7 linked regions of the Mus musculus genome follow. The protein of the gene in region 2 interacts with the protein of the main gene of each other region in a pairwise test. Links are inferred from orthologs where the notes say so. Each region holds a gene or a part of one and is shown on either strand. Other genes may lie near its edges. The genes, in order: Usp2, Mtus2, Enkd1, Setd5, Smarce1, Prkaa2 and Lnx1.

Region 1 (4,288 bases), on a different chromosome or scaffold from region 2:
GTGGAGAAGTGGTGGGCCCAGAGGGCTCACTACGGGATGTTTTTTTTTTTTTTTTTTTTTTTTTTTTTTTTTTGACTTGGTGTTAGGAAGGATGGCTATCTCTACAAGCCCAAGAAAAGGCAAAGAAACAGGCTTCCTAGAAGCAGAAGGTAGCCTGCAATTTTCTTTCCCCTCCTCATGCCCAAGTACCCCTCCTAGGGCTCCCTGCTCTAGAGCGTCCTCGCTCCCCTCCTTTAGGGCTTCAGTTGTCCTCTGTCCCTATACCCTGAGGAGCATTTGGTTACAGCACTCACCAGGTCCAGTGGGTGGCCTCTCAAATGCTCCCCCCCCCCCACACACACTGAGGGCTTACTTAGCTGTCCTTGAAGCTCAGACACCAAAGAGAGAGCTACTGACCTGTGTTGGGGGCACTGGATGGAGCCTGGGGGCTTCTTTCCCCGAAGGGAAAAGACTGCTGTGTAGCCTCCAGAGGCTGGAGTCTGACCGGGCCTGGGTAATCCGGAGCTCAGGTTACGCTAGCTAGATATATATAGTATCTTATCTGACCTCTCCGAGATGGCAACTCACTTGCATTCCAAGCCCCAGGAGAATTAAAGGGGCAGTGACAAGCCCACCGTCCACCCGATGCCTAGTGGCTGGAGGAAAGTTGAGAATGAGCTAGAATCCTGGGAGGGAATATTTGGAAATAACAGGAAGGATCAAGGGGATGGGGGATGGGGGGCAGAGGGCTGGGGATAAATTTGAGTCCCAAACATGGAGAAGGTGGATTCTCTAGCGCTGTCAGTCACAGGTTGAGCGAACAGGAAGAGGCCAAACTGCTAAACCAGATGCTAGAATTTTAAGATGGGGAGGACCTAGCTCGTCCTATGGACATGGACAGAGGGGGTGGAGGATCAGCACTTGGGTTTCAGTCCACTACTGTTTTTAAGGTGGACTTGTAGGTCTAGGCCTGAATTCTTACTCTTTCCTGTATTGGATCTAAGATAGCTTGTGAGGATACTCAGGTCTCTGAATCTTAGCTATGTAGTTTGTAAAACATGAATAATAGAACTAGCATGGTGACACATGCCTTTATCCCAGCACTTGGGAGACAGAAACAGGCAGATCTCTGAGTTCAAGGACAGCCTGGTCTACAAAGCAGATAGCCAGGGCTACACAAAGAAACTCTGTCTCAACAAAACCAAACACAAACAAACAAAAAACCACAAAGGAACAAACAAACAAACAAAACCCATGAATAACAACAGTCGTGACTATGTCTCACAATGGTGAGGATAAAATAATAGTTTTAAGTCTCCTCGAACATAGCAAGAGTACAACAAACGACAAGCTTATTGGCCGTGTTCACTGTCAAGTCACTAATGTTAGTTGTAGCAGGCAACCCTAGAAGAAAAAGGCCTTGGGCCACCTTTCAGGAAACTGCTGATGGCAAATAATATTCCTGCAGTTTTCTGAAACAATCCACGTCCCCCAAATGGAAAGGTCAGACAGACTTTGCCACTTTCCCAAGGCGACAGGCCAAGCCTACTTGGGCTCCTTTCCCCTTTGCTCAGAAAAAAAAAAAAAAAATCAAGTGTGGCTTCCTTGGGCTGCCAGGGAATGTTTGGCTCCAGAGGAGCAGTTCCAGTCTACCTGTTGGAGGGCTCAGGGTTCCAGGGTGTCAAAGGCAGGCTGGACAGGGTCATGAGAGGACCATCGTTCTGGCCTCGGTGCACCTGTCTGCTCCCAAGAGGAATCTTCTGCTTCTTGATGGCTCTCCCTGGAGACTGGAAGGCCCGAGGGCTGGTGCCTCCACCCTGTCTCAGCACAAGGTACTGACTCAGACTGGGTCCTGGTGATGCACTTTGGAGGACGCCCTCATTCCAATCCTCATTCCAGAGCGGCATGCGCCTACAGCATCAAAGAGTAGGGGACATCCCCCACCCCAGGCCATCCATCAGTTCTCCATGCCTCTTGTTTTGTGGTTTGATGTGTGTGTGTGTGTGTGTGTGTGTGTGTGTGTGTGTGTGTGTGTGCAAGCTTATATGCCCGTGTTTGGGGGAGATAAGCAACCCCTACTAGAATCTTCAACTCAACTTCATTCTCAAAAGCTCTGGGGTTAAGAGCTAGGAGTTCTCTTTTCTCTGGAGAGCTAGAAACGGTTGACCAGGACTCCCCTAGGCAAGTTGCATGTCAGAGAACATTGCATGGCTGCTTTTGCTTTGGGATTGGTGAGAATTTCAAAGTTGCCTCTTTCTGATTTGGGATTGGTGGAAAATTTTTCCCTTCCGCTTAACTGCTAGCTTCCCCTAAGCCCCTTCCCCCGCTTTGGAAAACTGACCAAGAGATAGCCCCGGGATGTTTAACAACAGGGAGGTTGTTAGCTGCACACACACGTGGGGAGAGGGGGGTGTCAGGGTCCAGGGGTCATTCTCGGGCTACACAACACACAGGGCGGGGAGACCTGTACCCGCGGTTACAGTGTTTCCTCAGAACACATTGATCAGCACACAGATGGCTCTTCCTGGCACCCCGAGCTGGCAGCTGGCAGCCCCTCTCATACACTGGCACCCACAGCTGGAGTCTCCCCCTCCACACATCTGGCCCTCGCCCTACATTTCTCACGTCCAGACTGCCCAGGCTGCCTTTGACACCCTACTTTCCGAGTCTCAAAGCTGGTACTGACCCTGGCTTTTTCCTTCCCCGACCTGCGACAGGTGGCACGTACCTGCCTCTTCTCGGAGGATGGACGAGTCGAACCGGGCACAAGCATGGAGCTGCGGATGAGTCCTGGCTGGTACTGGCGCGGCGCAGCGAGCAGTGGCTGACGCAGAGGGCTCCCTGGCCTCGCTCGGTGCCTGCCCGCCTCTCCCCCACCTCCGCCGGGGGCCCAGAAAGGACCTCCCCGGGAAATCGGCGCCACCCAGCGGGCAGCAGCCTCATTGCGCCCGGGCCGGCCAAACCACACCCCGCGTTTGCGTCACTGATATACGTCATGGCTATTGGCTTGTTCCTATTGTTGCGTCAGTAGAGCCCCGCCCGGCGCGCATCTCCCAGGTAACCGGGTATATACAGAGAACCACGTGGAGAAAAAGCACGCCTGTTTGGAGCCGGTGGCGCAAGGAAAGAAGTGGACTGGAATCTGATAGGTCCTGGCGCTGGGAAGACTGAGACAGAGGGTCACTTCACGGGAAAAGGCAACATTCCAGCTTTCAGATCTTAGAGAAGGCTTTCCTACCGGGCTGGGAATGTTCTATTCCATAGACTCTTTTTCTGCCTACTTTTTTATTTTATTTATTTATATTTAAAAATGCATTTATTTAAACAACCATGTATATCTCATAGCAATATTTATAGAGCCCCATAGGTCAATCAATCAGGTAAAAAAAGATTATGTCCATTCAACACACTATCAACGTACATGACTATTCAAGTGACGCATTCTATGGGCTACTTATTAAGTACATTACTAGACATGGTGATAAGTACTTTGCATATATTAGCTTTCTCATTTAATCTTTTTAATGGTCCTGTAAAAGAACCACTATAGTCATCTATTGCACAATGTAGCTGAAGCCTAGGGAGACCATGTTCAAGTGGTAAATAAATGTCAAGTGTCTTGTACATGTCTACTAATGCAGTTCGCTTAGGTGACTACTGGGAGGACTTAGCCCAAGAAAGGATAGCATTTCATCTAAGCTATCAGGTTTAGAATAAGAAAAAAAGATGCAACTTGTATTTTAATTTTAAGCAAATGACTTTATTTTTAATCAATTAGTTATTGTGTGCAATGGTGCTTTGCTTGCATGTATGATTGATCCCCTGGAGGTGGAGTTACAGACAGTTGTAAGCTGCCATTTAGATTTTGGGAATTGAACCCTGGTCCTTTAGGAAGAGCTGACAGTGCTCTTAACTGCTGAGCCATCTATCCAGCCTGCAAACTTGACTTCTAAGAGTTATTTATTGTTAAATTAGATAACACCCCCTAAGAAAAATCAGAGTTATTCTTTTTTAAAAAATAATTTATTTTTATTTTATGTGCATTAGTGTTTGGCCTGTGTGTATGTCTGTGTGAAGGTATCAGACATTGGAGTTACAGACAGTTGTGAGCTGCCATGCGGTTGCTGGGAATTGAACCCAGGTCTTCTGGGAGAGCAGTCAGTGCTCTTAACCATTGAGCCATCCATCTCTTTAGCCCCTCTTTTTTTTTTTTTTTCCTCAAGGCAAGGTTTTTCTATGTAGTCCTGGAACTCACTCCATAGTCCAGGCTATCCTTGAATTCACAGAGATCCACCTGCCTCTGCACCAA
Region 2 (4,228 bases):
ACTTATAAAATTAGGGTTGAGAGAGTGGCACGGGAATCCTCCCTATTTAAAAAAGAAACCAAAACTACAAAACCACACAATAAACAGCCAGTGCTCCTCCCAGGGCCTCCCAAAGTAAGTCCAGGTGAGGGACCAGAAGGCCAAGATTCCCAGCCTCTTTGTATAGCCAGCATGGAAAGGGCTGCAGTAGTTTCAGCCAGCATTCAGGTCTCTAGAAAATTGTTAAACCTAACAGTTTTCTATTCCAGCCATCCTCCTGACACAGTTCTTATCTCCCGTTCACAAACGACCATCCCTGCTGCTCCCTCTAATTTGGCAGCAGCTATTCATTATAAAGCCGTGTGTGTGTGTGTGTGTGTGTGTGTGTGTGTGTGTGTGTGTGTCTGTGTGTCTGTGTGTGTGTGTCTGTGTGTGTGTCTGTGTGTGTGTGTCTGTGTGTGTGTGTGTGTTTGTGTGTGTGTGTGTGTGTCTGTGTGTGTGTGTGTGTGTGTGTGTGTGTCTGTGTGTCTGTGTGTCTGTGTGTGTGTGTCTGTGTGTGTGTCTGTGTGTGTGTGTCTGTGTGTGTGTGTGTTTGTGTGTGTGTGTGTGTGTCTGTGTGTGTGTGTCTGTGTGTGTGTGTGTCTGTGTGTGTGTGTGTGTTTGTGTGTGTCTGTGTGTGTGTGTGTGTGTCTGTGTGTGTGTGTGTGTGTGTCTGTGTGTGTGTGTCTGTGTGTGTGTGTGTGTTTGTGTGTGTCTGTGTGTGTGTGTGTCTGTGTGTGTGTGTGTCTGTGTGTGTGTGTGTCTGTGTGTGTGTGTGTCTGTGTGTGTGTGTGTGTGTGTGTTGTGTGCATCCCACATGAGCCTAGGTTTTTATACATTCTCCCTCACGATTTCAGCTCTGACAGCCTAGTTCCATGTCAATTATGTAATAGCCAAAGCAGGGAGTTTAACCGAGTACCAAAAGCACCGTCGTGGCTCTTACATAAGCTCCCATAAAGCCTCTGTAAGCCCGCCCCAAGCTGTGGAAATGTGGACTTATAAAAGATGCCAGCTTTCCCTCTGTCCTTAAAATTACCAAAAAGGCTTTTGTGCACCTGATTGACTGATTGCACTCCTATATAGTATATGAAAACATCCATTCAGTGAGAAAAATAATCCTTGGTGAAACAATTTTTTAAAAAAAAAATCATGCAAACAAAAAGAAGGCACTCCCTCTCCCCAAAACTACTGAACTTTCAGGGTTTCCTCTGCACAATGCACTATACCCCAACTAAGACTCCCATGGGTACCCTCTGTGGTACTAAGGACCCCCGGTACACACAGCTTTTCTTTGCAAGGAAAACAAGCAGGAAAATCACTTAGATGAAAAAGACCCGGGCTAAAATCTTTAGCTTCTCTCCAGTCAAACACAAGTTTCTCTCCCTATATGTCACACGCCTGGCTGGGGTACCTCGAACCCACCGAGCCCCACCTTATGCTGCTGGAGACTAAACGAAGCACGAAACGATGCCCACCAACAGTCACAACCCTGACTCCACATGAGCCACACACATAACAAATGCCATCACCAGAAACCAGTAAGAACAAGATGCGTATCTGATGTTTTCCACTCTCATCTTTGTACCTGAAAAATTACGGTACGTGTGAGCAGAGATCTTTAATAACTGTCAACACACGATTAGCTATGTCCACGTGACAGCAAAATACAACTACCTAACAACTTAAAAGCCAAAACGGCTATGTGACAGGGATCTATTTCTTTAAGTCACTTCCCACCTATTTATTGTCAGAGACGTCCCACTGGTTTTCATAACAGACTTAAAAAAAAAAAAAAAGCCTGTTTTGTGTCTTAACGCTTGAGAGTCTACGGTATGAATTTTTCTTTTGAAAGGACCTCCTGTCGCCTTTAAATGATACCAAAACCATCTCATGCTTATCCTGAAGGAAAGTTTTGAGCTAAGACAGAAATTATGGCTCTGACTTCCTGCGCTCTTACGTTCTCTGGTAACCGCTCCTAACTTTACCAACCAGCAAATATTCCTGTGAAGCACTTACATAACAAAAGAGTGCAGGCGCCTCTGGCACGCCGCCAAGCGTACTTCTCTGGGTGTTTGTATTTAAAATAGAACGGTAGTAACATCACTTGCAAGCCTTTCCCTGCACAGACTCAGAATGAAGGGGGTTGAAAAATGGATGGAGCAAGCCTTACCATTCTAGGGCTCCAAGGAAATAACACATCGGTGCTAAATTAAGACGAAGACACGGACCGAATTATCCCGAGCTGGGGGTGGAGAGGGGTGGGAGCTCGCTTAGGCTAACCCGCTGTCGCCTCTGAAACACCGTGCTCAACCTGACATCCCCGGAAGGTGCGAGTGGGTTGCAGCCTCTCTCCGGCGGAGCAGAAGATGTGGGCAGCGGGGAGCGGGCTCTCTGATGCCAGAGAAGCCAGCAAAAGGCACCGCCTCCGCCCCGCTCTGCACCTGTCTCCAGCCGGATCGGGACGCGCGGACAGCAGTCGCTCACCTGGGTCTGGAGGAGCCAAGAAGGATGTGCAGAGAGACCAGAGCAGCCTCCGGGAGCATCCCGGGCCGGGCTACCTCCGCACGCAGCTCCTTCGCAGCTGGAGTTTGCAACGCGCCCACGCGTCCAGACTCCTGACCCACCCGGGTCTTCTGCAACTTGACAGAGCGCGGGCTGAGGTGGCGCAGGTGGCGAGCTTAGGGCACCGGGGTACCTGGGGCCGTGGCCGCAGCCAGCCCTCCGCCCGCGCACTTCACCACTGGGCACCGCCCAAGCCGCCGGGCTCTGATCACAGGGATGGCCCGGGCTGAGGACGCCTCGCCGGACAAAGACGCCGCTCCCGCCCACCCTCCAGTGAGGTGCCGTCCGCGGTGACAGAAGCCGGGCTGCAGCGGCCCGAGGCGCGCACCCCCTCCCGGCCGCCCGGAGATGCTCGCGAGCCCCGGCGCCTCCTCTCGTCCGGAGCCCCGTGGGGGGAGCCGAGCGCCCTCTGCTGGCCCGACACGACCCGGCAGCTCACGGGACCACAGTGGTCCGGAGCATCCAGCCTCAGACCCCAGAGAAAGGAGAAGCAGCCTGAGGTCGCTGACCTAGACTCCTGACTCCCACGAGTGGGATGTGCTGTGGTCCAATCGGAAGAGAGAGCCTCTTTTAATTGCGTGCAGCAGGAAGAATTGGGGTCCAGCGGGTGAACTCGCAAGGGATGTAGCGGGGCTGATGGACAGGAGACTAAAGAAGTCTCTGTAAGGGTTTTGTGTGTGATTGTGTGCGGGTTTGGCGGGGGTGGGGGTGGGGGAGTTGGGGTGTTTGAGGCAGGATCTCACTTGAGACTCACAGATATCCTCTTGCCTCTGCCTCCAAATCTAGGGGTAATGCATAGCCGGCTACCCACTTGAAAGACTCTTGTCTCAACGCAAGCTTGTCTGCTTCGTAGTTCACAACGTTCCTCAGAAGTAAACATGAACGCAGGACTTCTCAGTAGCCCTTCCAGGTCGCCTGAAAGCAGCGCACCTGGGAAGCCTGAAGACAGCCGGGGGGCTTCTCCAGCCTCTGGCTCACAAGATTTGGGACAGACTGACAGAGAAGACAATGAGATGCTGGCTTACTGATGTGCTTGCTCGCTTTCTCTTGGGGGTCGGGAGTGTGGGGAAAATGGGCTCCCTCCCCCACCCCAGCATTGCTGTGCCGAGCAACATTTTATACCAGCTGAATTTTTGTACTAACTGGTCTATATTGTGAAGGGAAATCATGAAAGAGCACTTTTCACACGGCTGTCTTTTTACATTATTCTATGTGGCCTCCCATTTCTTCTGGAGGAATCTAGGGCACGTTTTATCGCTTTTCCTGTCACCTTCGGGTGTTAACAAGCGGTCTGACTGGCTGTTATTACAAAGTCCAGTCCAATCTAAATCAAACTTTAAGCTCATTTCATTTAAGCCTTCGCCCCTCCCTTCCCCTAACTCACAAACCCCAGCCTGACTTAAACCTAGAAAGATAGTAAAGCCTCCTTTGTGCCATTCACTTTCCTATTTGGGTGCTCTGTGAAGCCCATGCCTCCCAGGTGCAAGGAATGAGGTCCTGGCGCTACAGCTCCTTCCTCGGGCCACTCCCACTCCTCCAGGGACTCATCCCACCCCCACCCCCATCCCACAGGCAGACCTGACCATCTTCCACCACATCGGCTGACAGTGTTCATTAAACTCTCTACAGAAGCTCTGGTTAGCTTCTT
Region 3 (4,352 bases), on a different chromosome or scaffold from region 2:
GAAAACAAGAGAAGAGCCCAGGGACTGCCACTCACGCTCCAACCCCAAGGTCTCGGCGGCGGGTGCGGATGCGCTGGCCACAGCGGGCGGCACAGGAGCCCCGCCACTCTTGCGTTTCTTGGCTTTTTTGTGCTGTTTCGAGGACAGTGAGGATTCACTGTGGCTGCCTTCTGGCTCCTCCTTCTTCTGCAGCACCCCCGGTGGCAGCTCAACTTCTGACCTAGGATGGACATGGTGCTTGGCCCTGGGAGGGCTGGGGAACCCAAACCTGGGACAAGAGGCCTGAAAGAGGCAGGCTTCAGTCTTTGGTTCCTATATCTTGAGCCTAGGGCTTACCCCTGCCTGTCCACTAGAGCTAGTTAGCTGTCCATTTCTTAGACAGTGAAGCTCCAAGCCCAGTAGAGGCTCAGCATTTATGGTAGCTCAGTCTCCTTGCAAGATCTAGAAGTCCCAAATCCATACCAACCCCCCAGCCCCCAAGTTCTAGAGTTGGGAGTGAGGGGTATTGGTCAAAGACAAGAATCTCTGCCTTGAAGGAATGGGGATTTAGGAATCTCCGGGCATAAGACCCACCTTCCCAGCCCTTCCCTCCGAAAGCCCTCTCACTTTCTCTTGGGCCCATGAGCTGGTCTCACGATGGATGACGTAGGCTTGGGTCCTCTCTCCTCTCCTGCTTCCACCCCTGCATTGAGCCCTTCCTCTCCCACCTTTATTCCTTCCTCCTGGAGCTCTGGCTCTAAGCTGTGCCCCACGGGACACTTGTCTTCGCCTGGGCTCCTGCAGGTCTCATGTGCCGGCACCAGACACTCTTCTGTTCCTGGACACTAGAAGATACACATAGGTCATTGGGAGCCGATGGCCAGGCAAAGTATTGTGGGGATCAGTTATTCAAAGCCCAAAGCTGCTGCAATTGGAGTACATCTCCCTTGGTTGGGGGGGTGGTGGTGTCTCCTAACTACATATTGGCCACAAAATATGAAGGTAACCAGCTTAGGCCTCTCTACTTGTAGGGCTTGGCCTGGCAGTTAGAGGGTTGGGTTACCTAGAGTCCCACCTCTCCTGCCCTACCCCTCCATCTCCCGAGCTTTGAAATGCCCAAGTCACCTCAAGGCTCTCTGCAACCTGGGCTAACCCTACTGCTGCCCCATTCTGGGTTTCTGGCTGCCTCTTGGCCCCTTCTGAGGCCATAGGCTATGAGGAATCAGTGCATCCCTCGACAGTTGATCAGAGAAAACCTCAGGCCCAGAGCGGGGCTGGACTGGTACTCAGTGCTGGTAGGGGAGACAGGTTGAGAGGTAAGGCTCCTGTTGAGACCCGAGACTTAGAATCACTCCTCATCTGGAACTACAAACCCCAGAAGGCTGTTCGCCTTAGTCATTTGACCCCTGACCTCAGGAAGCCATTTGTTGCCAAGCAACAGCAACTCCTACCGGCTTGCAACAGTTGGCGGTAAAACTGCTCCAGTGAGAGCCCTCGCTGGGGCTTGGCGGGGGAGGGGCGGCGAACCCCTCTGGGCAGTGGGCTAGTCGCGGGGCGGTGGTACAGTCTGCGCCTAGAGACGGGCGGTCGTCGAGGGGTGGGGCTCGGTGATGGGGGCTACCGCGGGGATGCAGGGCTCGGGTGGAGGGTGGAAGCACCCGACAGGGATTAGAGGGGAAAGTTGCGCAGCGCAACAGGCCCTGGTGCACTGTTGCAGGGCTGCGGTAGGATCATGTGCGAGGGCCCGTCCCGCATCTCTGGACCCATCCCCCCAGACCCCACTCTCTGCCCGGACTACTACCGGCGGCCGGCCTCGGGTGAGTTGCGGGGTGCCTCGGCGGGGCGAGTACCCCGCCCCACCCCTGAGCACGGCTTTCCACCGCGTCTTGCTCCTCAGCCCAAGGACGCCTGGAAGGAAACGCGTTGAAGCTGGACCTGCTGACTTCAGGTCGGGACCTGGACTCCAGTCCTCCTCGTGGCCCTCGCATCAGGCCTGAAGCCCGAGAGATCCTAGAGCGTGGCCAGCGAGGCGTGGGGGACGTGCTGCTGCAACTGGGGTGCATCTCCCTCGGTTCGGGGGTCTCTCCTAAGAGTAAGTCCTTGCAGACGGGGTATTGAGGCATTCTTAGGTCAAAAGCAGAGATTAAAATAGGGTGCTTCTTAATTGCCTTGAGCCCATGCAGTTAATGTTCTTTTCTGGGTCTTAGTTTCTCTAGCATAAAAGAAGGGCAAAATACAATACCTCCTGGCAGGATCAGAGTCTATCCTTCTGCAGAAAGCCCTCGCTTCAAGCTTTCACACCTTGATGGAGCATTGTTTACTTAGTGCCTACTTTGTGCCAAACCCTGTAGCTGTTAGGAAAACGGGGTTAAAAAGTATGGGAGTCGTCCCAGGGTAGGGTAGTATCCAAGGGAGGCTTCCCCTTCTCTGAGGAGAAGAGAAAGGGGTAATGGGGGGGGGGGGATTTGGCACAGGCAGGACTGGGAGTAGAGGGGCTACAATTGGGATGTGTGAATTTAAAAAAAATTGGCGGGGGGAGTATGGGAGTCACAGTTGGAGGCAATGAACAAGACAGGCCATGTGTATAATATACACGGTGATTAATGGTATGCTAAATCATAAAATGTAGAAGATAACCAGGAGGGTGACTGTGGAAGGGAATAAGCTGATAACTGTGCTGTGGGTATGATGTCTAACTTCCATGAAGAGGCCTTGGTTGTATTTAAAAATGTGTGTGTATGTGTGTGTGAACCCAGGGCCTCTCTTCTACCAGACATCTCCCAGATTGTCTGAGAGGTCTTTCTGCCAAGGGTAGGGTGTGAATCTATATTCGATCTAGTCCGAGGTGCATGGCCATTTGGTAGGGCTGTCCCTAGCAATATTCCTCCCTGCACCCTTCCAGGGAAGAATCCAAAGGACCATGAGAAGGAAAACTTGAGGCGGATCAAAGAGATTCAGAGGCGCTTCCAAGACCAGGAACGCAGCCGGGAACAGGGTCAGCCTAAGCCACTGAAGGCACTGTGGCGCTCACCCAAGTATGACAATGTGGAGTCTCGAGTCAAGGCCAGGATGAAGGTATCTGTCCCAGGGAGGCAGACCTATCCATCTTGGCCAAGGCAATTATATCTGATCTAACTTACAGAGCATGTGTGTGCGTGCGTTCATGAGTGCGTGCGTTGGGGGAGATGGTGATCACAAAAGACTAAGACATCTGGGTGGACTTTCTCTGGGGAGCTGATGGCATCAGGTCAAGGATTAGGCTAGAGGAAGAGAACATTCCACAGAGATAAAACCCCACAGGTAGATTCTGGCATCAGAGGGAGTAGGGGCAATGGGCATAGTGGGCATAATTCAGTTTGTAAGGGGGAGAAGCAGAAGGTTTGAACAGAAAGCCAGCAGGGTACATATCTGAAAGAACTACCTAAGTTACCTAGTTACATGTGATATTGGAGATGGAATCGTGAGACACATGCACACTAGGTACTCATATAATATACCCACGACCTTCCTGCTAACTCATTCTCGGTTCCCCTATCTCTGTGTCTCTGTTTCACGCAGCCCAGGCTGACCTCAAACTCTTTGACTTTCTTTTTTGTTTTGTTTTTGTTTTGGTTTTTTTTTTTTTCGAGACAGGGTTTCTCTGTATAGCCCTGGCTGTCCTGGAACTCACTTTGTAGACCAGGCTGGCCTCAAACTCAGAAATCCGCTTGCCTCTGCCTCCCAAGTGCTGGGATTAAAGGCATGGGCCACCACGCCGGGCTACTCTTTGACTTTCTAACTCTCCTTTGTCCACCTCCTGAGCGCTGGGATTAAAAGTGTTCACTACCACACTACTTTCTCTTTTTCTTTTAATTCATTCATGACTTCTTTGAGATTAAAAAAAAAAATTACATGTCTGTGTGGCTACATGATTGTCTGTGCACCAGAGTCCAGAGGAGGGGATGGGCCTCCTGGGACTGGAGTTACAGAGAGCTGTGAACTGTCCTGTGCTATTGCTGAGTTGTTTCCTACTCCCACCCCCAACCATACCCCACCCCCACCCCACTATCTCCACTGCTACTTTGTTTCTAGACAGAGTCTCCCTGTGTAGCCTAGAATAGCTTCAAACCCATTATGTAGCCCAGGCTGGCCTTGAACTGGCCTAATTTTCCTGCCTTAGTCTACCGGGTTTGGACCACCACTCTCAGCTCATTTCTTTGAGTTTATAGCTTGCTCTTTAGCCCCAGGCTCTCCTTGGGTTCTCTCCATCACCTATCCTGGCCCTAAACCCTTACTCTTTCTCCTTCAGCCTCCTGAGACTACGGGCATGCACCGCTATTTCTTACATTTTTTTTTTTTTTTCCTGAGGACAGGGGCAGGCAGCAGCACTTAGG
Region 4 (3,682 bases), on a different chromosome or scaffold from region 2:
AAGGTTGTGTGTGTGCTATAACAGTAATGTGGAGTACACAGCATAACCAGTAAGAGTCCATTCTTTTCTTCTACTGTGTGGGTTCTGGGGATTAAACTCAGGTCATCAGGCTTGATAGCCTTCACTCACTGAGCCATCATTAGCCTGCTCCTCCTTCCCCCAGAACATTTTAATGGCTAACAAAAGCAGTCAAACATCAGTTTCTGATGCATGCATTTGCTTTACTAAGATCCCTGAGGTGGGGCTGGAGAGACAGCTCAGCAGTTAAGAGCACTGACTGCTCTTCTGACGGTCCTGAGTTCAAATCCCAGCAACCACATGGTGGCTCACAACCATCTGTAATGAGATCTGATGCTCTCTTCTGGGGTGTCTGAAGACAGCTACTGTGTACTTACATATAATAATAAATTAAAAAAAAAAAAAAAAAGATCCCTGAGGTGAGCAGATGAGCAGATGCCTGACTTACAGGGCTATACTATGCAGACTTTAGCAGCTGACAGTGTGTCACGACTAGGAACACAGGATCTGAACTCCACAGGCACTTCTTTCTCTAGAGCCCAGAAGTCTCTTGACTTACCTGGTAGCTATATCTGGAAGGGCTGTAAACAGTTGCTCCTTTAGAGAGTGCTGAGCTCAATGGCTCTGGGCCTTCTCCATCTGCAGGGTCTGGAAGGCATTACAAGAATCAACTTGGCTTCTTAGAACACATAGGAAATAGGTATCATTCAGTCAAATCATCAATACATGCTGATCTCTGTGAAAAAATGAGCGCAGCATGCCAGAAGGGCATAGTAAGTGGTTAATTATGCGCTAAATTTTAAATGCCTCATCTTATTCTCGTCTCCTTCTTTCTCTTCATCCTTCATGAAGGTGGAGCTCCGGAACATTGGAGATGAGAGTTACAGAAAAGTATCCCTTGGGAAAAGAGCAGACAGAGAGCAAGCAACGCTAGATCTCACGTATACTGTAGCCCAAAGAGTAAGACTGAGCTGGAAGCTAGCATAAAGCAGAACCTGAGTAGGTCAGAAACTAACTTACTTTATCCCAACATTTGCTGTGAACTGCAGACCTTAGCTCACCTGACTCTTTCTCTGTGATGTTACTCTCCCATGTTGGAGAAGGCTCTCCCTTCTGGGCAACTCTCACACTGCTTCGAAGAACCTTAGGGATGCTACCTCCTTCTCGGAGTCGTTCAACTGATGTAGGAACCATCCTGCAAAGGTACAGAAGCCACAGAGATTAAGGGCTAAGAGTCTGAAACAAATCACCATGATAAAGATGGTGTAGTACAGACTCTTAAACCATCCTTACACTATTTTCTCCAGGACCTACTGAGAACAAGGCATTTCCTCTGCTTCAAACTATGCAATGTATAAAAGTAGGGGCAGTGAGAAAGCAATCTGGGAAAAGTAGATTAAAGATATTAACTTCTTTTAAACTCTGTCTGAATGTGAAATTTCCTCCTCTGAAACTGTGTTCTTGAAATAGTTTTCTTTCTTTCTTTTTTTTTTTTTTTTTTTTTTGAATTTCCAAGACAGGGTTTCTCTGTGTAGCTCTGGCTGTCCTGGAACTCAACTCTGTAGACCAGGCTGGCCTTGAACTCAGAAATCCACCTGCCTCTGCCTCCCGAGTGCTGGAATTAAGGCACCACCATGCCCAGCTTTGAAATAGTTTTTTATAGGATTCTTAGAGATTAAAGAATATAATACTTTGAGACCTGTATCTTCTTTCCCAGGCTCATTTCAAGATCCCATGCTTGAGGATCCCTGGAGCTTACTGGCCAGAGACTCGGGATTAATCAGTGAGCTCCAGGTTCAGTGAGCGATCCTTTATCATAAAGTAAGGTGGTCTCGAGTCTCCAAATGTAGACACCCCACCTCTGAAAAAAGAAAAGAATGAATGCTGTACTCCTAGCTGTGATGCATATTTATAACCCTAGGACCCAGAAAGAAGAGACAGGTGGATCAAAGAGTTCAAGGCTATGAGACCTATGTCAAAAAATTGCAAAAGAAAAAAACAAAAGAAACTATCTCATTCAATACTGAGAACTTGTCATTAATATTACTTATTTTTTATGATACCTTCTAACCTTGACAAGTCTACGCATGCATGCATGCATGTATGTATGTATTTTATGTATGTGAGTACACTGTAACTGTCTTCAGACACACCAGAAGAGGGCATCAGATCCCATTACAGATGGTGGTGAGGCACCATGTGGTTGCTGGAAATTGAATTCAGGAAATCTGGAAGAGCAGTCAGTGCTCTTAACCACTGAACTATCTCTCCAGCACAAAACTGTGAGATGGTAATTATTTTATTTTATTTTATTTTATTTTATTTTATGTGCACTAGTGTTTTGCCTGCATGTATGTCTGTATAAGGGTGTCAAAGATTGGAGTTACAGACAGTTGTGAGCTGCCATGTGGGTGCTGGGAATTGAACCTGGCTCCTCTGGAAGATCAGTTAGTCGCTTAACCAGAGTCGTTTCTCCAGCCTCTAAACTAGACAACTCTTTTCAGACCGTCTTGCATTTCTCTGTATATGCTAGCAGCATGGGACACAGCTCTTTTTCAATTTGAGAAAACCAGAGTCAGCAAGATGGCTCAGTAGGTAAAGGTTAAGTCTGAAGATCTGAGTTCAATCTCCAGAAGAACTATTTCCTTTAAATAGGGAAGAACTATTTCCTTTAAGTGTTCTCTGACCTCCATATGCATGTATGAGTGACCAAGAGTGCATATATGAACGTGCACACAAGGGGTGGGGGAGGGGAGCGATTTGGCTGGACTGTTTACTTACCTCTCATCAAAAAAAAAAAAAAAAAAAATAGCGCGTGGACACCCAAAACCTCACTGTTCAGTGAGTCTCTGAAGGGAGAAGATTTGGCTTACACTAACTAGCTGAACAAACAGATGGCAAATTACCTGCCTGTCTTAGATAAGTGCTCCAAAAACTTCAGGTAAAACTGGAAATGAATGTGTAACTTCCCACCTGAATTTAATTATAAAGCTAATTAAACATAAACTTACCACCTACTGCTGATGTTTTCTTGAGGTCTGCAGTGAGAGGAAGAAGTGCCCCTGGAATCTGACGGGCTTACCGCCTCCAAATGCGATGCAGAGGAATGAGACGGGGAAAATTTTTTGTGAGGGGATGACGGGGTTCCGGCTGAGGATCCCTGCACACCATGGGCACCAGTGTCAGAAACAGAGTTACTGCTGCCTTGCCCAGCTCCTGAAGACTTGCTTTTGCTCTGTGAAGAGTCATTTCCCCCACCAGAATTCTCCTTAGCTTCTTGTTTTCTTTTGCGGTACTCTAGCAAGGATACCTAGATATGAAAAAGAAAATGTATCATTAGTGAGTGGCTTAGGTATCAACTGTAATAGCCTTTACTGTATTTACAGCTGTGTGTGTGCACAGGCTGAGTGCAGGAGTTGGAACACTACTGGAGAGGAGAGCAACAGGCAGTTGTAGCCATCTGCTGTGCGTGTTGGGAACTGAGCTCTGAATCACTGAGGGACCTTTCCAGTCCCTATATAACAATCTTTTTTTTAGGTATAAAAGAGATCTGAGCAGTGCTACAGACTCAAGCCACTCAGAAACTGGTGAGGACAAAAAATATTCTATCAAACAATGGTGCTCAAATAAGACTATATCCTTTTACTTTCTTCAGAGAAACTTG
Region 5 (3,682 bases), on a different chromosome or scaffold from region 2:
CAGTGAATGGAACGGATACCCTTTTAAGTTCATTGTTAAAGGAGTCCGTGCTTTCCAGGAATTTCCTCTTCTTTTCCTGGTGTCGTTCCTCTATCTGAAGGAGCTCGGCTTCTAGTTTCCGCTGTAAGGTGTCAGACCAGATATGTATCGTTATGAGTTTTCTCTAAGGCAGATGTAAAGTGCAGAGAGCATGCCATTTAAAGATATTACTTTCAAGTGTAATTTGACATTTCCATCGTGTGTACGTGCGTGTGGGTACGCACACCAGCGCAGGAGCCCATGGAGCCCAGGAGAGGGCACCGAATGGCCTGGATCACAGATGGCTGTGAATCACCTTACATGGGTGCTGGGAACTGAACTCAGGACCTGGGCAAGAGCAGAACATGCTCTTAACCACTGAGCCGTCTCTCCAGCCCACTAATTTTGCATTACAAAATGAAATCTAGCTATAATTTTAAAAGTCTAGCATAGAGGCATGCTGGGATTGATAAGATGTTAATGAATAAATCTGGGGGGCATTGAATAGTAATGTAGCAAAGGCTGATGGGATCCCTAAATCCTCCAGTTTGCATCCATCTCTTAATAGATATACATGCCACCACAATGTTCTATTACAGTTTTTAATGACAAAGTTGTTAAGCTTCCTGAATGGTCCCCTCCTTTCAGCCTCAGGTGGCTCTACTTCACAGGTCTACTTATGACTATAGCAGAGTCACACAGCTGCAGTTAGCTCTGAGGCTATTTGTAATTTGATGCTAATTCAGGTCTCCTGTGAGGGGCTGCACTTAGGTGATTTCCTGCAAACCTTCTTCCCACCTTAATTGGCAAAATAAAGGCTAGAGCTGGTGATTGGGCAAAAAAAGGGAAGGTGGAGCTGAAAGTTGAGAGGAGGAGGAGGAGGTGTGGGAGAGAGGAGGTAGGGAAGATGGGAGTGTAGCGGTAGATCTGCCCAATCTAGGGGCACAGCTTGTATTCCTATTAATCGAGTTGTGTTTTCATTGCTGGGGCATATTAGGGTTGGAGAATTACCGCAACATCACACTATCTGGGATGTGTGACACAGACTCCTTCTAGTATAATGAATGTTTTCTGAACTTACCTGATGAACCATTAAAGACTGGACCTGTCGCTTGAGGACCTGCATTCTAGCTGTTGTGACAACCGACCGCACATCAGGTACCACACTCTCACTGAGGATCTCACTGATGAGACGGTGGTTTCTCTGGAAACGGGCAGTGGCTGTGTGCTTCATTGAAAAGCCATCATCATAGTCTAGAATGAATGAAATGTCCTGGAAATTAGTGACCACTTATCACAACACAATGTGAACAAGCAGTCACTCAGTAAGTGTGGTCCTCAGTGTCCTAGCAGGTGGGCCTGCCTAACATCAGAGGCATCTGGGCAGGCTATGGTAAGAACCACAGAGACAGAAGATACAACCCACCCAAGTGTTGTTCTCATAAACCCACTAAGGCAGTGGTTCTCAACCTGTGGGTCTCGAACCCTTTGAGGAATTAAACAACCCTTTCATAGGGAGTACAGGTTGCATACTGGATATCTGACTTATTAGATATTTACATTATGATTATCAACAGCAGCAAAATTATAGTTATAAAGTAGGTACAAAAGTAGTTTTATGGTTAGGGGTCACCACACCATAAGGAACTGTATTAAAGGCTTGCAGCACTAGAAGGTTGAGAAGCTATAGTGATGTGTGCTGGGCAGTGGTGGCGCACACCTTTAATCCCAGCACTAGGGAGGCAGAGGCAGGCGGATTTCTGAGTTCAAGGCCAGCCTGGTCTATACAGTTAGTTCCAGGACAGCCAGGGCTACACAGAGAAACCCTGTCTTGAAAAAGAAAAAGAAAAAGAGAAAGAGAAAAAGAAAAAAAGAAAAAGAAAAAAAGTGATGTGGTGATGTGTATCTGATATTTGGTTAAAATACCAACAACAAATGCTCACATCTCTTTTAGTCCTAGGATCCATGTAACACCTACATGTGATGGCAGAACTTGAAATCCTGCCCAATGTTCCATTCTCCTAGTAATTATCAAAGGCATTTGATAGATGCTACACTATAACTGGGAAGTAGTTTTATCATGGTTGTTAAAATTAATGAAAATATCCATTTGTAAAAATTAACTTATCACCATCTTCTCTAGTAATATTTAGTGTTTTCAGGTAGTTTTTGTTTTATCACATTAAAAAATAGTAAAGACCCAAACTAATCTTGTAGAAAACACAACTTGATTTAAAGGCTGGGAGATGAAGCATTTGCTGGGCAAGCATGAGGATCTAAATTTGGATCCTAGGCAGCATCCAAGTAAAAGATGGGTGTGGCAGATCTGGAGACTCATTGGTCATTCTAGCTAAAATAGCAAGCTCTAGTTTCACTGAGAGAGACTCTGTCTAAAAATAGTGCAGAGAAGCAATTCAGGAACCATCTGGTTGTCACTCTACCTTCCACATGTACCTGGAGAGGGAAGCATAGTGCATACACCGACCCAACCTTATCACAAGAGATGAGGAAGGCACCCAACACCAACACACACACGCACACACACGCACGCACACACACGCACGCACTCACACTACTCACAGATACTTGATTCTAAACTTATTTTTAATTTTGCCAGTTGATACTTGTACATGGCTTGTAAAGGTGCCATCTAAACTTAGGTACATATAGCACACATTTGGCTTATATGTTTATGTGTGGGAGTTGTTATTTTTTTGGTGTAATGCATGCATGTGGTTTACAGGTGTGCACACACATGTACATACATGTGGAGGCCAGAAGAGGTAACACGTGTCTTCTCTATCTCTTTTTGCTTTATCCCTTTAAGTCAACACCTCTCACTGAACTGGAAGCTTACCATTTTGGCTAGGTTAGCTGCCCACGGAAGTGCCAGAATCTGCCTGTTTCAGCTCCCAGTGCTGGTGTTACGGGGATGTGCCAAGCCACGCAATTTACATGGGTCCTGGAGATGTGAACCGAAGTACTTGTGCTCACACCGCAGGGGGTGTGATCTTTTTGAGACAAAATTTCACTATGTAGCCCAGTCTGGCTTTGAACTCAAAGCAGCCTTACTTCCTGCCCTAGTCTCTTGAGAGTCATTTAAAAAGCCCTCTCTATCTGTGTGAATCTTGTGCTGGGATGCTGAGTGTGTGCCACCCCACCCAGCATGGATGCTCGTTTCCAGTAACCCCAGAGTATTTCCTTTATCCTGCTGTCCCCTCCATATGCATGGTAGCAACCTGAATCAGTATTTGCTGAATAGTCTTTTTACACTAACTCATTAAACAAAGCAAGTGTTTTCCTCCAATATAAATCAAAACAAAGCTTGTCTCTGAACCACCTAATCCCCCTTTAAAAAATGATTTATGCACAAATGCTCTTATCTGCATGTACACCTGCATGCCGGAAGAGGGCATCAGATCTCATTATGGATGGTTGTGAGGCACCATGTGGTTTCTGAGAATTGAATTCAGGACCTCTGAAAGACCAGTTGGTGTTCTTAACTGCTGAGCCATCTCTCCATCCAGACCTAATCCTTCTCGCACTTCAGACAGATGCAGGGACCGTGCTTTAGGAAAGAAACCCTGCTACATACAGAGGCTTGCTTGCTGCTGAAGAATCATTTAGAAAGCCCTGACTATGGAGGTGTGAGTCAAGGTTAGTC
Region 6 (4,377 bases), on a different chromosome or scaffold from region 2:
GTGTTTTGTCTATGTTCTACATTTACCTGCACATGTAAATTATTTCCTATTTCTTTTAGTATTTCTCCCTTGTCCCGTATATAATGCATATCTACACACATGTATGCAAGTGCTGAAATATACTTAGGGCTGTGTCTATGATTTATTGGGAAATTTTGTTCAAATGAGTTAGAATTGAGAGTCCTGAAGAGAATGTCTTTTATCTCTATAACACGATTGTCTATATAACTGAATGAAGAAAAGAAATAAAAGGAGACCATAACTGCTCCTGGGTATGGTGGATGTGCTGGCTTGTCATATGGCAACTTGACACAAGGTCATCTGAAAGGAGGGAACCTCAACTGAGAAAATCCAGCTGTAAGGCTTAATTAGTGATTGGTGGGGAAGGGCCCATTGCGGGTGGTTCCATCCTTGCGCTGGTGGTCCTGGGGTCTGTAGGAAAACAGGCTGGACCAGCCCTGATGAGCCAACCAGTATGCAGCAACCCCTCCCCAACCCCCCATGGCCTCCGCATCAGCTCTTGCCTCCAGGTTCCATGCATTGAGTTCCTGTCCTGACTTCCTTCAATGATGAACAGTGCGGTGGAGGTGTAAAAAATAAACCCTGCCCTCCCCAACTTGCTTTCTGGTTATGGTGTTTTATCGCAACAATAAAAGCTTTAACTAACACAATGAGGAAGGCCTGTTATAGATAAAATGAACATACAGGCAGAAGCAGAGGCAGAGACACATGGTCAGACTCAGCAGGGCCATGTGAGGAGAGAGAGGGAGGGAGAGCAAGAGAGGAGCCAAGCCTAAGAGGGGTGGGTGGCCTGGGCTAAGAAACTGGCACAGCCAAAATGGCTGAATTATCTAGGGATCAGAGGACCTGAGGGAAGGGGCAGCTCAGTCCCCGGGCTGGAGAGTTCAGGGTAGGGGTCAGGGTATGCCAGGCAGGAGGACCCTATACCAGGTGGGGACTAAGGGATGCTGAGAGAACCAGCGTCACGTCACCTTTGCTATGTTAATGCTAGGCGTCTCCGTTGGCAGTTTGTCTGGGGGTTGAGACCTAACAATAACACGACCAGGAACTACAAAACAATGGGACGCCATCTGAAGAGGGTACGGACTAGAACGTTCCCAGACAAACAAACCTTGGCTAGGGGGAGCGTGCCAGGGGCTAGGGGCGGGCCGCCCTCTCCAGCGCCTTGCCCTCTGGTCCCGAGGCATGGCTCACGGTCTACACCCCGTCACCCCCACTTCTCCTCAGATTCTCCTTCCATCTCGGTCGCGCTCAGATTCATCCCTTCCATCTTCACCGCCCTGGGCTTTTCTCGGGACGCCTCGGCTCTGCTCCCCCAGCCTGCGTCCACACGCGCCGGGCTGCGCTCTCCCCACCGCGCCCCGGGCGTCCCCGTCCCGCCCCCCGGGCCCGCTGCACTGTGGGTAGGCGGCGGCGGCGGCGGTGGCGGCGGTAGCGGCGGCGGCAGCGGTAGCGGCGGCGGCGCTCAGAGCCCGCGGCAGGGGGAGCCCGTGCGCCGAACATGGCTGAGAAGCAGAAGCACGACGGGCGGGTGAAGATCGGACACTACGTCCTGGGGGACACCCTGGGCGTCGGCACCTTCGGCAAAGTGAAGAGTGAGTGCAGCGGCGCGGGCGGGCGGGCAGGCGCGAGCGAGGCCGGGTGGCAGGTGGAGCGCTCGCGGGCGAGCCCGGGGCACAAGCACCTGGAGCCGCAGCCCGGGCGTGGGTCCGGGGGGACCAGCGGTTATGGGGTGTGCCTTGGCGGGGGGTGCCTCCGAGCGCCCTGTCTTTTCTCTATGCCTCAGCTCGCTTGTCTGCAGAATTGGGCGATTGGCCCAGTCCGAAGGGCCCCGAAGCGTGGGGAGGATGGGGGAGTCACGGCGCCCGCCGCGAATTGGGAGGGGGTCTCCCACTGGTGCCAAGTGCTCTGCGTGGAGCCTCATCTGTGGTCACACTTAATCCTTAACGTGGCACCGGCCGGGTGCGGTCCTCACCTTAAAGGTGAGAGAACTCGAGCTCCAAGGCTTCAGAGACACGCCCAAGGTCACAGAGAATTGGCAGATTCAGGGTGAGGTCTAAGATGTCCTCCAATTTTGGCCTTGCTGATGAGGTCCCTGCCTTTCCCAGATTCTTCCCTGTCCCAGTCCTTTGATGGTGGAGTTGACCAGGGGCATGCCCATAGCAGAGAGGTGCCAAGTCCCTCTGCTGGGTGTGTGAAAACGCTGGAATGCAGCGGGTTGGACAGAGAATTTAGGAGAACCCCTAGCTCTGTAGGTTGATTGGTTCAAGGAAGGATTCTGTGGTCAGGGTCTGGGAGAAAATGTTGCTTGGTGATCGACTTTGGGTCCCCAAGAGGTCAGACTTGCTTAGGCAAGGGGTATGTTTGTTGGTGAAGGGACTGCTTTGGGGGTTTTGGAAAAAAACTGGTTGCTTTTGAAATGTCACACTGCACTAAACTAGTTAAGTATTAAACTTTGCTTTGCTTTCTTATTAGTTAATAAGAGTCACATGGGGTTTGATTACCCGTCCTTTTAACAGAACTACAGCTCTTGTTAAAAAAAATACTTGGTAGCAAGTTGGGAATTAAAAGTGAAACATTAGCCTTTTGTTGTTGTTGAATAAATATCGGGTAAGCAGTCTGGGGATTTTATGCTGAGGCTTATTTTCTACATTTTAACCTCCAGTGAAGGTTTGAATAGAAGGGAGAGACTCCTCATTCCTGCGAGGATTAACTCCTCTTGGTGTATCTAATACCGGTTTGTACAACTAGAAAACACTGAATGCTCTCACCACATGCGGGGAACTGTTCTGGGCAACGGAGTTCTAGGAAAGAGCAAAACCTGAGCTCTCCTGGGACTTACTCGCTATGAGGGAAAGACAATCAGAATACATGTGAAAAGTATATGGCCCCCTCCTATTGAGAAAGGAGAACAGGGGAAGGAAGGATGGAGCCTTTTGTGAGGTTGGCAGATTATATTAAGGTGCCACGTGGCCTCACGGAGTGGGTATTTTTGTAAAGACCTAAAATGTTTGTAAAATTCTTTGAAGTCTTGTGAAGTTGGGATCTTGTAAGAGTTGTGGATAGTTGGGAGATGATAATGATAGAGATTAGATAATGATGTTGCCACCATCTTTGCAGAGAACTGCTTTGCTGTGGCATTGCAAAGTTATGCAAACGGCTGCTTTGCCATTTAGGGTAAGTTATATAACTTAGCCTATATGCTTTCATGTTCTGCTAAGTGCTTTTGTTTGCGCTTGCTTTTTTTTTTTTCCTCTTGATGTAGAGTGGAATACCCGATCTGATTTCTCAGGCCATTGTCAAGGGATAGTTCGAAAATATTTGGTTATAGTCTCTGTCTGCTTCTAAGCGCCAGCTTCCTAAAATATAAATGGAGCAGAAGGGACCTTTGGCTTATGAGAAAAATCTTTTTCCTGGAGAACCCTGCTGGAACGAGCTGTTTGGATTTCTCCTGACCATTTTATCTTCCCTAAAGAGATATTCCCTATGTGGTGTGATAGTTACTATTAATTGTCAAATGCACACAAGGAAGAAACACCTAGGAAGGGAAGCTTAATGAAGAATTATTTAGATCCAGTTAGCTTCTGCGCATGCTCAAGTGGGAAGCCCTCCCCCATTCTGGGCAGTACTGTTCCCTGAGTTTGGGTCCTGCGCTCTGTTAAGTATAGAGGGATGGGCGAGCATGATGAGCAGGCCTGCCTGCATGTGTTCTCTCTCTCTGCTGGTGACCGAGGATGTGCTTCACGTTCCTGCCTTGACTTCCCTCAAACGGACTGTAGCCTGGAAACTGAATTAAAATAAACCCTTTCTTCCCTAAGTCACTTTTAGTTGGGGTGTTTTATGACAGAAATTAAGCTAGGTCAAGTGGGTTTGTAATCAATACAGCTGTAGTTGTTAAGTCAAGGGGCTGGTGAAACAAAGTATATGCGTATTAAGAATACATTTTAGGGCTGGAGAGATGGCCCAGTGGTTAAGAGCACAAACTGCTCTTCCAGAGGTCCTGAGTTCAATTCCCAGCAACCACATGGTGGCTCACAACCATGTAATGGGATCTGTTGCCCTCTTTTGGTGTGTCTGAAGACAGCTACAGCTCATATACATAAAACAAGTAAATCCTAAAACTTAAAAAAAAGAGTACATTTTAATTTATTATTTGACATTTCATACAATGTGCTTTAATCAGAGTCCCTGCCCTTTCTCTTTCCAACTCCTTTAATGCCCTCCCACCAAATCTCCATTCCAATTTCACATCTGTCTATCTTTACATATATATCTATCTGCAAATCTGTGCCTGGGTATAGAGCCAACCACTGGAACACAGGTAACCTACTAGAGGCCCCCTGCCCCCAGCCCCAC
Region 7 (3,682 bases), about 73 Mb from region 2:
GTGAGTTCCAGGCCAGCCTGAACCACACAGCAAGACCCTGTTGCAGAAAACCTAAATGAATGAAAGAAAGAATGAATGAATAAATAAGTAAATAAATAAATAAATAAATAAATAAATGTTTATTTTAAGTAGTTCAGTTACAACATGATTACTGTGCTCTTTCTTAAAAAAAAAAAAAAGAATAAATAAAAAAAGAGCCAGAGCGATGGCTCAGTGGTTGAGGGCTGACAAGCTTGAGGGCAGAGTTTGATGCCTAGAACCCTCGTGGCGGGAGAGACCTGACTCCCACAACTTGTTCCCTGACTTCTTTGTGAGCTCCTCCTATGTATGTGTGTGTATACACACACATACTCACACTCACACACCCACAAATAATAAGTATAGAAAAGGACGGTAAATAAGTAGAAAAATAAAGACTTCAATCATACAAGGCAGTGGTTCTCAGCCTTCCTAAGGCTGCGACCCTTTAGTACAGTGCCTCATGTTGTGGTCACCTCCCGCCCCACTAAATTAGTTTTATTCTTACTTCATAGTTGTAATTTTGCTGCTGTTATGAATCATAGTATACATACCTGCATTTTCTGATGGTCTGAGGCAACCCCCACGACAATGTCGTCCAGGGTTTGTGTGATAAACGGAGAAGACTAACATAATCAGTAGCCCTGTGTCAGGCCAATGCCACTCAGAGGAGTTCTTTAGAATGACTTCTGCCGGATCAGCAGCTGTGTCATCTGACACCCTCTCCAGCAGAACAGTGTGTTAGCTAAATCATCACCAGTTTCTGACCAGACCGTTGTCAGCGAGCTGAAATGATTGGCCCAGTGGCAAGGAAACATGTTCGTAAAACTAAGGATCCAGATAGGCTCAAACGCTGGTCTTCAGAGCCCTGGGCATTCCTCCCTCTCCCTAATGTGCCAATGATGGTCTACTTTACAGTGTTTGGGTTTTGGGAAAATGCAGTGAATAAAATGGATAGAGAGATGGACAGAAAGATCTCTGTTGTCAATAAAAAAAAAAATCAAAGATGTTTTTCTCCCCCGATGCTGTGAGATGTGACATCTTTCAGTGTGTGAGAGCTCCTGGCATTGACTCCTCTGAAGAGCATGCAAGGCGCTACCAGACCAACCTAGCAACAGGAATGGAAGCCATCACACCCGCCCCCTAGAGACTAGCAGTTCCGAGTAAACCTTGTGGCTTTGTGGCGAGTGCGATTCTGTTTCCATGGTCGGCTAAATACAGGATCTGGGAGTGGCCTTGAGTATTTATGTCCAATGCTGTGGGATCTAACCCAAAAGAAAGGGGTGAGAATGTGATTAGGGGTTTTGGTAGTCAAAATAAACAGTCACCAAGTCCAAATGTTAGAGATCCCCGTCCTCAACCCCAGTCAGGTAGATGTGATTTCCTACTGCTTGACAGTAGAGATTATATGCTAGGAGAATATAACAGGCAATTAAAAACAAATTATTTCTCAAGTCATTAATGTATTTGGCCGGCCAGCATATATTGAATTCTTATATGTGAAAGGGAGGGGTGTACATGGACAAGCATGTGTATTGATTGGGGAAGTTCTGACTAAACATTCTAAGTGCCCCTCTGGTTTTATTCCAGCTGCAAAGGGGCCTCCCACTATGGCCTGACCAAGGACAGGAAAAGGCGCTCTCAAGATGGCTGTCCTGATGGTTGCGCCAGCCTCATGGCAACGACGCTCTCCCCAGAGGTTTCTGCAGCCGCCACCATCTCTTTAATGACAGATGAGCCTGGCCTAGACAACCCTGCCTACGTGTCCTCGGTGGAGGATGGTGAGCCAGTAGCCAACTCCTCAGACTCTGGCCGGAGCAACCGGACTAGGGGTGAGTCAAAAATGGGACGGTGTCTGGGAATGGGCCCGTGGTTTTCCCTGGGATTGCCCTCTGTAGAATACCCGTGGTGGAAAGTTCTCAAAATGTTTTTTTAAAGGGGAAATGGTTCTGGTAGTTTTGGCCGACACTCAATGTCCAGTTCTCCAACAGGAAATGAAAGTTTAAGTGACCATGTGATCTGACTTGGTAATGGAGGGTGAGGTGAGGTCTGATGATTTACAGTTCCTATAGAGAGGGTACCTCCCCTGCCTTCTTTGGAAAGTAATGTTCTATCCACTCCCATCCAAGGGGGAGAAGAGATTTTTTTTTTTTTAAATAGTGAGATATGTTATTTTACTACATAAAAAATTTAGAACTACAGGTAAATAGTGATCACTGTTTTAATATCCCAATGTCCCAGTTCATACGCTTTAGACCGAAAAGATTTCTTTTTTGCTTGTTTTGAAGCAACACCTCACTCTGCACCAGGGCTGGCTCTGGCCTCCTGAGCTTCCTGGCTACCTCCTGAGTGCTGAGATCACAGGCACACAGCAGCACGCTTAGCTAGCAGATGGTTGCGGTGAGCCTGTGCCTCTCATCTCCATTGATCTCTCTCTCTCTCTCTCCTCAGCACGGCCCTTTGAGCGCTCCACTATGAGAAGCCGGTCTTTCAAGAAGATCAACCGAGCTCTAAGTGCTCTCCGGAGGACGAAGAGCGGGAGTGTCGTTGCCAACCATGTTGACCAGGGCAGGGACAACTCTGAGAACACCACTGTCCCCGAAGGTAAAGGGAATCTCCACTGCACCCCGAGGCTGGCTGTAGGCTAGTTTGCCAGAGTCACTTGAGGGATGGTGGTAGCCTGACCAATGTCCACCCTCTGTGACCTCTGTCTTTCCAAGGGTACATAGCCTTGAGTGACCTCCTCATTTGAGTAAGGACAGGGACTCTTGGTTTCTTTGTTGTCTTTTTACACAGGTGAGGAAAAATTCGTCTGTTCCTGGGCTCCAGGTGCTGGCTTAATGCACATGAAAATAATGATTATAGTTAGAGTGTGAAAAGCATTTTACTTCATTCTCACCCAATGGCACTGTGCACAGGCTTCTGCTAAAACAGAAAAAGCCACAGACACTGCGAGTTCTATATAAACTGACAGCAAGTTAGTGCCTTTGTTTTGCCTATTGTTTTGATTTTCTTTTTTTAAAGAATTATATATATATATATATATATATATATATATATATATATATATATGAATGAATGAATACACTATAGCTGTCTTCAGCCACACCAGAATAGGGCATCAGATTCCATTACAGATGGTTGTGAGCCACCATGTGGTTGCTGGGAATTGAACTCAGGACCTCTGAAAGAGGATTCAATGCTCTTAACCACTGAGCCATCTCTCTAGCCCCTGTTTTGATTTTTCTATACTAATTTATTTATAGTGTGTGGGTGGAGGTGGCTGTGCACACCTACATACACATGTACTCACGTGCCACAGTGCATGTGACTCATGTGACTGTCAAAGGACAACTTGCAAGGGTTGGTTTTCTCCATTCACCATGAGGGTCCTAGACTGGAATTCAGCAAGTGCCTTGAGCCACTGACCCATCTTGAGGGCCCTTAAAAAGCATCTTAGACTGAAGCTGGCACATTGGCTAGACTAGTATTCTTAGTGTACACGTACCTACACACACACACACACACACACACACACACACACACGGTGCTCTAAGTGTTCTATGTGCTCAGACACCCCATGACCACGGCACATTTCCAGGTCACTGGTATCTCACTGGTGTGGCTCTCAAGATGCTCCACTGTCGACCTATTTTTCAGGAGC

The links.
Region 1: the proteins of Mtus2 (region 2) and Usp2 interact in binary tests that used the Homo sapiens proteins (3 or more experiments, as listed by UniProt). The two-hybrid records come from large-scale screens. The link is inferred for Mus musculus from reciprocal best matches to the Homo sapiens genes MTUS2 and USP2.
Region 3: the proteins of Mtus2 (region 2) and Enkd1 interact in binary tests that used the Homo sapiens proteins (3 or more experiments, as listed by UniProt). The link is inferred for Mus musculus from reciprocal best matches to the Homo sapiens genes MTUS2 and ENKD1.
Region 4: the proteins of Mtus2 (region 2) and Setd5 interact in binary tests that used the Homo sapiens proteins (3 or more experiments, as listed by UniProt). The link is inferred for Mus musculus from reciprocal best matches to the Homo sapiens genes MTUS2 and SETD5.
Region 5: the proteins of Mtus2 (region 2) and Smarce1 interact in binary tests that used the Homo sapiens proteins (3 or more experiments, as listed by UniProt). The two-hybrid records come from large-scale screens. The link is inferred for Mus musculus from reciprocal best matches to the Homo sapiens genes MTUS2 and SMARCE1.
Region 6: the proteins of Mtus2 (region 2) and Prkaa2 interact in binary tests that used the Homo sapiens proteins (3 or more experiments, as listed by UniProt). The link is inferred for Mus musculus from reciprocal best matches to the Homo sapiens genes MTUS2 and PRKAA2.
Region 7: the proteins of Mtus2 (region 2) and Lnx1 interact in binary tests that used the Homo sapiens proteins (3 or more experiments, as listed by UniProt). The link is inferred for Mus musculus from reciprocal best matches to the Homo sapiens genes MTUS2 and LNX1.

What each region holds. Positions count from the first base shown.
Region 1 is NC_000075.6:44,065,640-44,069,927, reverse strand, and holds the start of Usp2 (ubiquitin carboxyl-terminal hydrolase 2), read right to left. Parts: upstream 2,908-4,288; 5' UTR 2,708-2,907; exon of another isoform or gene 2,697-2,707; intron 1,891-2,696; exon of another isoform or gene 1,633-1,890; intron 500-1,632; exon of another isoform or gene 397-499; intron 1-396. UniProt on the Homo sapiens protein: Hydrolase that deubiquitinates polyubiquitinated target proteins such as MDM2, MDM4 and CCND1. Isoform 1 and isoform 4 possess both ubiquitin-specific peptidase and isopeptidase activities.
Region 2 is NC_000071.6:147,955,996-147,960,223, reverse strand, and holds the start of Mtus2 (microtubule-associated tumor suppressor candidate 2 homolog), read right to left. Parts: upstream 2,905-4,228; 5' UTR 2,503-2,904; exon of another isoform or gene 2,189-2,502; intron 1-2,188. UniProt on the Homo sapiens protein: Binds microtubules. Together with MAPRE1 may target the microtubule depolymerase KIF2C to the plus-end of microtubules. May regulate the dynamics of microtubules at their growing distal tip.
Region 3 is NC_000074.6:105,705,268-105,709,619, reverse strand, and holds the start of Enkd1 (enkurin domain-containing protein 1), read left to right. Parts: upstream 1-1,411; 5' UTR 1,412-1,463; exon of another isoform or gene 1,464-1,696; 5' UTR 1,697-1,711; coding exon 1,712-1,796; intron 1,797-1,876; coding exon 1,877-2,071; intron 2,072-2,881; coding exon 2,882-3,054; intron 3,055-4,352. Other genes in the region: 4933405L10Rik (uncharacterized protein C16orf86 homolog), read right to left, coding at 36-220, 607-824, 1,105-1,188. UniProt on the Homo sapiens protein: Microtubule-binding protein which regulates microtubule organization and stability. Promotes the stability of astral microtubules and facilitates the proper orientation of the mitotic spindle.
Region 4 is NC_000072.6:113,147,086-113,150,767, reverse strand, and holds part of Setd5 (histone-lysine N-methyltransferase SETD5), read right to left. Parts: intron 3,329-3,682; coding exon 3,030-3,328; intron 1,214-3,029; coding exon 1,080-1,213; intron 667-1,079; coding exon 578-666; intron 1-577.
Region 5 is NC_000077.6:99,214,015-99,217,696, forward strand, and holds part of Smarce1 (SWI/SNF-related matrix-associated actin-dependent regulator of chromatin subfamily E member 1), read right to left. Parts: intron 1,273-3,682; coding exon 1,100-1,272; intron 122-1,099; coding exon 20-121; intron 1-19. UniProt on the Homo sapiens protein: Involved in transcriptional activation and repression of select genes by chromatin remodeling (alteration of DNA-nucleosome topology).
Region 6 is NC_000070.6:105,106,944-105,111,320, reverse strand, and holds the start of Prkaa2 (5'-AMP-activated protein kinase catalytic subunit alpha-2), read left to right. Parts: upstream 1-1,422; 5' UTR 1,423-1,522; coding exon 1,523-1,616; intron 1,617-4,377. UniProt on the Homo sapiens protein: Catalytic subunit of AMP-activated protein kinase (AMPK), an energy sensor protein kinase that plays a key role in regulating cellular energy metabolism.
Region 7 is NC_000071.6:74,626,288-74,629,969, reverse strand, and holds part of Lnx1 (E3 ubiquitin-protein ligase LNX), read left to right. Parts: intron 1-1,608; coding exon 1,609-1,850; intron 1,851-2,469; coding exon 2,470-2,622; intron 2,623-3,682.